2 linked regions of the Mus musculus genome follow. Each later gene encodes a partner of the first gene's protein in a complex. Links are inferred from orthologs where the notes say so. Each region holds a gene or a part of one and is shown on either strand. Other genes may lie near its edges. The genes, in order: Polr3b and Polr3gl.

Region 1 (4,475 bases):
GCCCCATGCATACCATTCCTGATACAAAGACAATGGACTAACCTCTGAAATTGTAAGCCAGCCCTAATTAAAAGCTTTCTATTTTAAGAGTTGCCTTGATCAGGGTGTCTCAGACAGAACACTGACTGAGACATAGGAGAAAATCTAAAGTCATCAACATGGTTTTTGTTGTTGTTGTTGTTGTTTTTACCAAGTCTGGCCAATGCTTACTTCCCACCTCTTTCCCACCATTGCTTAGTGTACTTGCTCTGTTGGGTTGGGTTTTTGTTTTGTTTTGTTTTTCCCCTTGTATACTTATTCTGTCTTTGATAGTTTTTTTTCTCATTAAACTTTCAACTTTAATTTGTAGATTACATTTTGTGTTTCAATCATGTCTTCCTTAGGAAGCTACCACAGTGTCTGCCATAGACCCTTGCGTGTTTCTAACACCGCTGGCCCCTTTCCCTGGTCTTATTCTCTGTAGCAGGGTGCTCAGGCTTTGGCATTTTCTTTTTTCTGAATGAATGAACATAATGAATCATGTTACTTACTGCCTTTGCCAAAGAAGGCAAAGAATGGCACGGGAGACTCAGAAATTGACATTGCACTTACTCATATTGATTATTCCCATCTATGTAAGTGGGATAATAAACAGTAATGAACAGTACTTACTAGAGCAATAGTTTCGCGTGCTGAGTTAAATGAACAAATGCTATTTCCTTTTAGCTCAGCCTATTTTCTATTCAGCTCCACAACTTGTATTTTCTCTACAACTTTCTAGACAGGAGCTCTGGTTTATTTGAACTAATCATTTCTATTATATTTTTCCTTCATATTATACTGTGGTAGGAAAAGTTACTCAGGCTTTGGGGCTGGTTATTATTCATCGATGAGGTGAGCAAATACTAATCGACTATACTGAGTACTTATGGGGTAGTGTTTCAGCAACTTAAACAAGTAAACAGACTTGCCTCCTGACTTCAGAAGTCGTTAGCTTAATAGGGGCGACATGTAAGCAAATGGAATGACACTTGGTAGGTGCTATAACAGTATGCAGTGAGGTGGATTATTATAGATGCTAGGTATACTGCCATGACTGAGCATGGTGGTTGTATGAGGGAGGCATTCCAAATAAAGGGAGCCACTGTGTGCAAGCGCACAGGGTTGAAGGAGCTGGCAGGGTGGAGAACACTGAGGATGTCTATGCCTGCTATGAGTTAGACATGGTGAGGAAAGAAAGGTAGGTACATTGAAGAGGCTTAAGGTAGTGAATGAGGTGACAGCAGGTTCCAGTGAGCCAGTGCACCGTGGCTCAAAAGCTGAGTTAGGGCTGGGAAACACAGACAGAAGGACCAGAAAGCAGTGTAGTGGCCCATTTGGAAGACACCGAGAGTTCCAGCTCATGCTGCAATTAAGGACGATTGTGAGGAAGGTTCCTTACAGCAACACTGTAACACGACGCTGTGATCTACAAAACTCTCCCTGGAGAGCCATACCAAAAATATTAAAAGTAAAATAAAATAACACTCATAAAGCTTGGAGTTAAGTCTGCAGTTTTGGACTGGGCTACATTCTTAACTATCCTTTGCTGCATGGGCTGCAGGTCCTGTTGATTAGGAGTAGGGGAACACTGAGAAATAAGCCAAACACAAAGACAAATACTGTGTATTTTCCCTAAGAGGATCTTGGAACTCATTCTTCAAAGTCCCTGAGACAGTGAGGTTGTGATCCTACCACCTCTACATACCAAATGCTGAGATTAAAGTCGTGGGCCCCTACACCCTGTCATAGCAGGAATCAACCACGGGTGCTCTGGAAGAGCAACCAGTAGTCCTCAATCCCTGAGCCGCCCCTGGGTCCTAAGTCACTGATCAGGTCGCTCCCAATTAAACCCTTCAATGGTGCTTTACTATTCCCAGGGAGAAAGTCTAACACCTTCTAAGAGTTAACACATTTCAGAATCAGGAAGGCATCTTTTACTGCCCTCTTCCCCTAGCTCCACTAGATTTATTTGTTCCCCTGAAACAACTGATGGTGTGTCTGGGGTCATGTACAACCTGTTCCTCTGCCTGAATTTCTTCCTCGACCATCTTCAGTCCTAGATGTCCCTATTCTGTGCCAAAGATGTCAAGGTTCAGTGAGAATTTATATACCTTCTCAGGAAACAAAATCATGTCAATAACTGCACTTCCTTAGGCAGTTCACCGTGAAGCAATTATCCTTTAACTTTTAAGAATCTGATGAAAGCTATAGGGGCCCCTAAGAAAATACAAGATCAAAAATGGGGGACGAAGGGATAGTCAAGGTACTTAAACTAAACCTGCAGTCCAAAGAAACTGTGGAGTAAAAGGAAAATGATGACAAGGGTGAGATTCCCATTTACTTTTAGCACCAAAGCCGGCTATGGGACCTCAAGAACATTGCCTACGTTCTCAGGATCTCTGTGTCCTTCCAGGTGAGATCGGCAAGAAGATATTGGTTCCTGAGAGAATACACAAGGACCAATTCTTGCCAGTGCACACTTAAATTAGAAAAGCTTTACCCGAGAGCCATTCGCTAAGCTTCTAAACGTAGGACGCTACTGAGAGATCTGTACTTGCTGCTACAAACGCTCAAGAACCACACCTGGTAAAAGCTCACACACCCGGAGCTCCGAGCATGTGCAGAAGTTCTGAGCATGCGTAGAAGCCCAGGGACCCGCCCTCGTCATCCTGAAAACTCTCCCGGCAACGCCTCCTTAGTCGTCTCCAACCTCTTCCGCTGCCTGCGCTCACGGCACTTACCTCCACAGTCGGGATCGGCGCAGTCAGCTGCTCCGGAGTCAGGCTCCCGAACTCCTCGGCTAGAACATCCATTCCATTCACGGTAGAGGAAGAAGTCGGCAGAATGTTCACATCCGCCCGTGCGGCTCCAAGCAAGTAGCACGCGGAGAGTGGTGTGCGTTCTCCTCCGGTGTCCCCGTGGCGCTTGTTTACGGGGAGGCGTTTCAAAAGGTTCCGCCTGGTCAGGGCCTAACCTGCGGAGGAACCCGGAAGTGACCGAGCCGGATGTGGAAAACTACACCCACTGGTGTACTTCCGAGGTCTCGCCGGGCTAATCCTAGCCTCTTGACAGGCTCATTTCCAGTATCCCCAGAATGATTGAATACGGCAAAGTATAGTAGTTCTAACTGTATAACTAATCTGAAAAATGACTCGATAATACACATTAGTCACAACATGAACTTCTAAAGCAGAGATTTCAATTAACTCAGTCTAAACTGCTTGTATGTTGTGTAGTACAGAAGAGCAAAAGTCCTTGCTTAAATAATTGGTGGTACCTGCGTGTAATGAACAGGCATCAGCCGGGCGTGGTGGCGCACGCCTTTAATCCCAGCACTCGGGAGGCAGAGGCAGGCGGATTTCTGAGTTCGAGGCCAGCCTGGCCTACAAAGTGAGTTCCAGGACAGCCAGGGGGCAGTAAAAGATGCCTTCCTGATTCTGAAATGTGTTAACTCTTAGAAGGTGTTAGACTTTCTCCCTGGGAATAGTAAAGCACCATTGAAGGGTTTAAACGGGAGCGACCTGATCAGTGACTTAGGACCCAGGGGCGGCTCAGGGATTGAGGACTACTGGTTGCTCTTCCAGAGCACCTGGGGTTGATTCCTGCTATGACAGGGTGTAGGGGCCCACGACTTTAATCCCAGCATTTGGTATGTAGAGGTGGTAGGATCACAACCTCACTGTCTCAGGGAGTTTGAAGAATGAGGTCCAAGATCCTCTTAGGGAAAACCCAATAAATTATATTAGAATAGTTAATTAACGGTTTGGGGGAAAATATGTTTAAATCCTATGTCGATGAAATATACCTTAACAAAACACTAGAAGGAAACGTCAGAGGGACGGAGTTTGTTACCACTACACCGAATAAACGAAGGATTGCACATAATCCTCCCACGGCAGCACAGACACCTATAATCCCAGCATTTAGAAGCTAGAGGTAGGAGGGCATCCAGAAATTCAAGGGCATCCTTGGCTACCTAACAAGGTCGAGGCCAGCCTGGGCTACATGAAACCCTGTCTCCAAAGAAAAGGTAATGTATTAATAACATTGATTGGTGAAAGATTTCAAGGATGGCAACGGAGAAAGCATAAGAATTGCTAAAAGTTGTATTCCATTAATTTTTAAAAAATTAGATACACCTATAAAAAATCTCTATGAATAGTAAACACACAGTTGGTAGAAGACAAAAGGATTTGTCACTGAAATTGGAAATGAGTTCATGCAAGTCCAATGGTAAGAAAAATCCCATGGGAAGAAGAGGTAAAAGATGCCAACAGTTTTTAAATGAGTTTCAGTTTGGGAACATACAAAAATTGTGGAGATGGATGGTGTCACATGAGTGTGTACAATGCTCCTGGCCATTTAATAGTTGAACTATTTAATAGTTCACCTGTATAATTAGCACCATCTAATAATATGTGTTCTTTTTTTTTTTTAAACCTGGTCCAAGGTAA
Region 2 (4,332 bases), on another chromosome or scaffold:
ATAAAAACCACAAACCAAAAACAGCCTGGTTTTAATCCCAGCACTCAGGAGGCAGAAGCAGGCAGAAATCTAGAGTTTGAGGCCAGCCTGGTCTACAGAGTGAGTTCCAGGACAGCCAAGGCTACACAGAGAAACAGACTGTCTAGAAAAACCAAAAACCAAACCAAAACAAAGGTGGAGAGATGCCTCAGTGGTTAAGAGCACTGACTGCTCTTCCAGAGGTCCTGAGTTCAACTCCCAGCAACCACATGGTGGCTCACAACCATCTGTAATGGGATCTGATGCCCTCTTCGGGTGTCTGAAAAACAGCTACAGTGAGCTCACATAAATATAATAAGTGCATCTTTAAAAAACAAAACAAAAAAGCAAAACCCAACAACAACAACAACATCCAGAACAAATAACAAAAACCCCCAAACAAGCCATTTTCAAGGGAGGAGGTTAATAATATGGAGTGTTTAGGGGTGAAGGAGACTACAATATAAAGTCATATTTATCTGTTGTTGTTGTTTTTTTAATGTTTTCATTCTTGATACAAAATTGAATTTATAGTGTGGCTCTATTTACTTATAAAACAAAAAGTTTTGCATATATACAGAATAAACTGAGAGTACATATGTCTAAATACTAGTATCAGGGGCAGGCAAGATGGCTCAGCAGATAAAGTCAGTGCCAGTCCAAGAACCTGAGTCCCATCCCTGGAACCAACTAAGGTGCAAGGGAGACATAACCTTACAAAGCTGTCCTCTGACGCTGACATGCATGCGGTGGCACCAGTGTGCAAGTACATAAAATAACAATAAAGTTTAAAGTTGTAAAATACTAATTACCATCATTATTACCTTAGGGCTATGAAATAATGCACACTCTTATATTACTATGTGTTTGAAAGTTGTGTGGAATAAATGTATATCCTACAATCAACAAGTAAAAAGGATGCTTCGTTTTCAAGAATGCAGGGGAAATCTGGAGAATGGTTCAGTGGCTCAGAGCACTGGCTGCTCTCCCAGAGGACTTGGGATTCGATTCCCCGGGACCCACACAGGGACTCACAGCTGTCTGTAACCCGTCCCAGGGAACCCAACACCCTTTTCTGCCTTCTGAGGGTTTCAAGCACACAAGTGGTACAAAGACTCACATGCAGACCAAACGCCCACCCACACACAAGAATTCAGAGGACGAGTGGGTGCTATAGCTCAGTGGTGGAACCCTACTTAGCAAATCACTAGGGCCTCAATTCAATCCCCAGTTAAAGAAAATAAGCAAACCCTCACAACAACAACAACAGCAACAACACACTCGCTTAGCAGAAAGCCTTGGGCCAAGCCTGTCATTCAGAAATTTCAATTCATCTTTGGTTCCATGGTGAGTTTGGGGCCAGCCTGACCTCCACATATGCACCATGGTACACACTCCACCCAGGCCCACTAATAATAAGTAAGTTTAAGTTGAATAAATTCAAAGGAAAAAGTGAAAGAGTGGACCGACCTGAAAAGAGCTAGTGAGTTCTCTTCCTAAAGATGCTGTTTCAGAGCTAGGGGTGTAGTTCAGGGGCAGAATGAATGCTTAGCATTTGTAAGACCGGACTCACATTTCTCAATTTAAAAGAAAAAAGCTTATTTGGGGTGCAGTGGTACAAGCCTGTTATCCCAGAAAGGGTGAGGCAGGAGGGTCATAAGTTGGAGGTCAGCCTGTTTGCCCTGCATAGAAAGAACTGGTTTCGAAAATATTTTCCCACATACTAAATAACAATTTATTGAATAGATGTTATCAGAGGGTTCATTGTGATCCCGGTTGTCTAGCACTGTGTCTGCTATGTAGTAGGTTCTCAGTAAATATCTGTCTTTTGAACATGTGTCTACAGACTCTGTGAGTCACAAAGACTCCCTTCTGGTTCTTTTTGTTGTTTTCCTTCTCTGGTCTGAGAATAACTATAAAACATTAATGCAATAAACCACCAGTTCAAAGACCCCTAATTATATAATGTTGTCTTTTATTGTTCCCTAATTATATCAGGAGTTTAAATTTGTCCTCCTTGACAAGAGCACTGGTTCCCACAAATCAATTCCACTCGATTAACGCTTACTGAACACAATGTATTAAGTACCCCAATCTGTCCCATCAAACCTTCCGTTCATAGAATAGAAACAGTGAAAGAGAACATATAATCCTAACACCGGGGGTACTGTGGCAGGGGGAATGCAAACTGGAGGCCAGTATGGGCTACATAGCAAGAGTCTGCCGATAAAAGCATGGGAGGGATGGAAAAAGTCAGCCTCGTGAGATGGTAAATACTCGTGTTGCCAAGTGGCCAGGAAACAGGCTGACTAGCTCAAGTTGTCCTCTGACCTCCTTGCGTAAGCCATGGCTTGTACGTACCCCCCCCACACACACACAAATAATGTAATTTTAAAAATTAAAGAGATTCCAATAGTGATAATCGGACTTTGTCAGGTCGGGGATCAATAAATTCTTCACGGTGGTCTAGGAAAGTGGTGGGTAGAGGGTAGCGGTTCAGTTGACTTGATAGGTAATAAGAATCTGTCAGGCTCTTGACAGGGGGCTAATGTTACGTTAATGGGTGCGGGAGAAGCTGGTACCATAGAAGAGTCTGAGCTACAAGAATGAACCTTCCTCTCCTGCTTTAATATCTGTCCCCAGGCGCGACAGCAAGCTGTCTCCGGCGTACAGTCAAGACAGCAGTGAGAGCCCGGGGAAAAAGGGGAGGGATTTAGAAGGGGGCTGATCCAACAGGCTGACAGAAAGCGTTATCTACGTCGCTGTCGGCGCCGAGGGACTAATTCGGGAAGTACCGAACCAAACCGGGTCAGAGCCACCAGGTCGAAGCCTTACCTGCCGTCCCTCCCCCACTCAGGGCCCACGCAGCCGCCAACTTGAAATTTGCTTTTCTTCTTCCAGCCCTCGTTCTAGGCCCGCCTCCCCGAGCTCTCCATTGGTGGGTTTTCCTGGCCAATCGACGAGAGCGGAGGCGGGCGAGGAGGGGAGGAGGAGGGAGCGAGCTTAACCGGAACTGAGGCTTGGGAAGTGGCGCGCTGAGACCTGGGGCTGCAGAATTCACCTCTTATGCCCAGACCGAACTAGATGGCTAAGATGTCCTGCTACTCAGAGCTCATCCAGACACGTGGCGGAGCCAGAAGAGGAGAACCGCTGCTGGGAAATGTAGCCCTGGGTCAGAGAAACCAGACTGCTCATCTGTTAACAGCTGTGCCTGCAGGAGTTCCCAGAAACACTCCAGGAGGTTCCCAACTACCGGACTCCAGCGCCCTCTTCTGGCTTAGGCCATCACACACACACACACACACACACACACACACACACACACACACACACACCACACACACACCACACACACACACACACACACACACACCACACACACACACACACACACACACACACACACACACACCACACACACACACACACCACACACACACACACACACACACACACACCACACACACACCACACACACACCACACATCACACACACACACACCACACATCACACACACACACACACACACACACACACACACACACACACCACACATCACACACACACACACACACACACACACACACACACACACACCACACATCACACACACACACACACACACACAGAGAAACACTCCAGGAGGTTCCCAACTACCGGACTCCCGCGCCCTCTTCTGGCTTAGGCCATCACATACACACCACACACACCACACACACACACACACACATACCACACACACCCTCTTTATTATTCTTCCTCAGTCACCAGCACTACTAATAAATAATCTTTAAAAGATTTTTTTTCTCTAAAGGCAGGGTCTGGCTACCCAGTCTAGGCTGGCCTTGAACTCTTGATACTCTTGACTCTGCTACCAAGCTCAGGCCCCAAATGCGGATTGTTGCGGTGTCTGAGAAGTGAGGGAGAGAAGGGGGCTTGGGACCAGAGCAGTAATTGGGGAGAGAAGGCAGGAACCCAGTGGGTTTTTTCTTTCTGTACTTTCCACTGCCCTTCAAGCCCCTTCAAGGAAAGAGGGCAGAATAGAAAGAGTCATTTTTTTTACAGAGTAGAAGTAAAGGGAAATACTTCAGGATGGATGTAAAACTAGGAGTCAGTCAACAAGAATATGACAGAGGTCAGAGAAAATGGCCTCTAGACTGGGAAGTTGCATGTGGATGACACATACTCCGTTTTTGGAATAGTATAAAAACATAGCTGTAGCGCTTTGGGGGAACTTGCTTAACCTCATTATCATTTGTTGCAGGAAGACAATAGTTCCCCCCTCATTGAGTTGTGAGGGTTGGAGATGATGT

What was found.
Region 2: Polr3b (region 1) and Polr3gl share a complex: the UniProt entries of both Homo sapiens proteins name them as parts of the RNA polymerase III (Pol III) complex. The link is inferred for Mus musculus from reciprocal best matches to the Homo sapiens genes POLR3B and POLR3GL.

The regions. Positions count from the first base shown.
Region 1 is NC_000076.6:84,620,826-84,625,300, reverse strand, and holds the start of Polr3b (DNA-directed RNA polymerase III subunit RPC2), read right to left. Parts: upstream 3,004-4,475; 5' UTR 2,835-3,003; coding exon 2,763-2,834; exon of another isoform or gene 2,656-2,762; intron 1-2,655. UniProt on the Homo sapiens protein: Catalytic core component of RNA polymerase III (Pol III), a DNA-dependent RNA polymerase which synthesizes small non-coding RNAs using the four ribonucleoside triphosphates as substrates.
Region 2 is NC_000069.6:96,591,231-96,595,562, forward strand, and holds the start of Polr3gl (DNA-directed RNA polymerase III subunit RPC7-like), read right to left. Parts: upstream 2,952-4,332; 5' UTR 2,854-2,951; intron 1-2,853. UniProt on the Homo sapiens protein: DNA-dependent RNA polymerase catalyzes the transcription of DNA into RNA using the four ribonucleoside triphosphates as substrates. Specific peripheric component of RNA polymerase III which synthesizes small RNAs, such as 5S rRNA and tRNAs.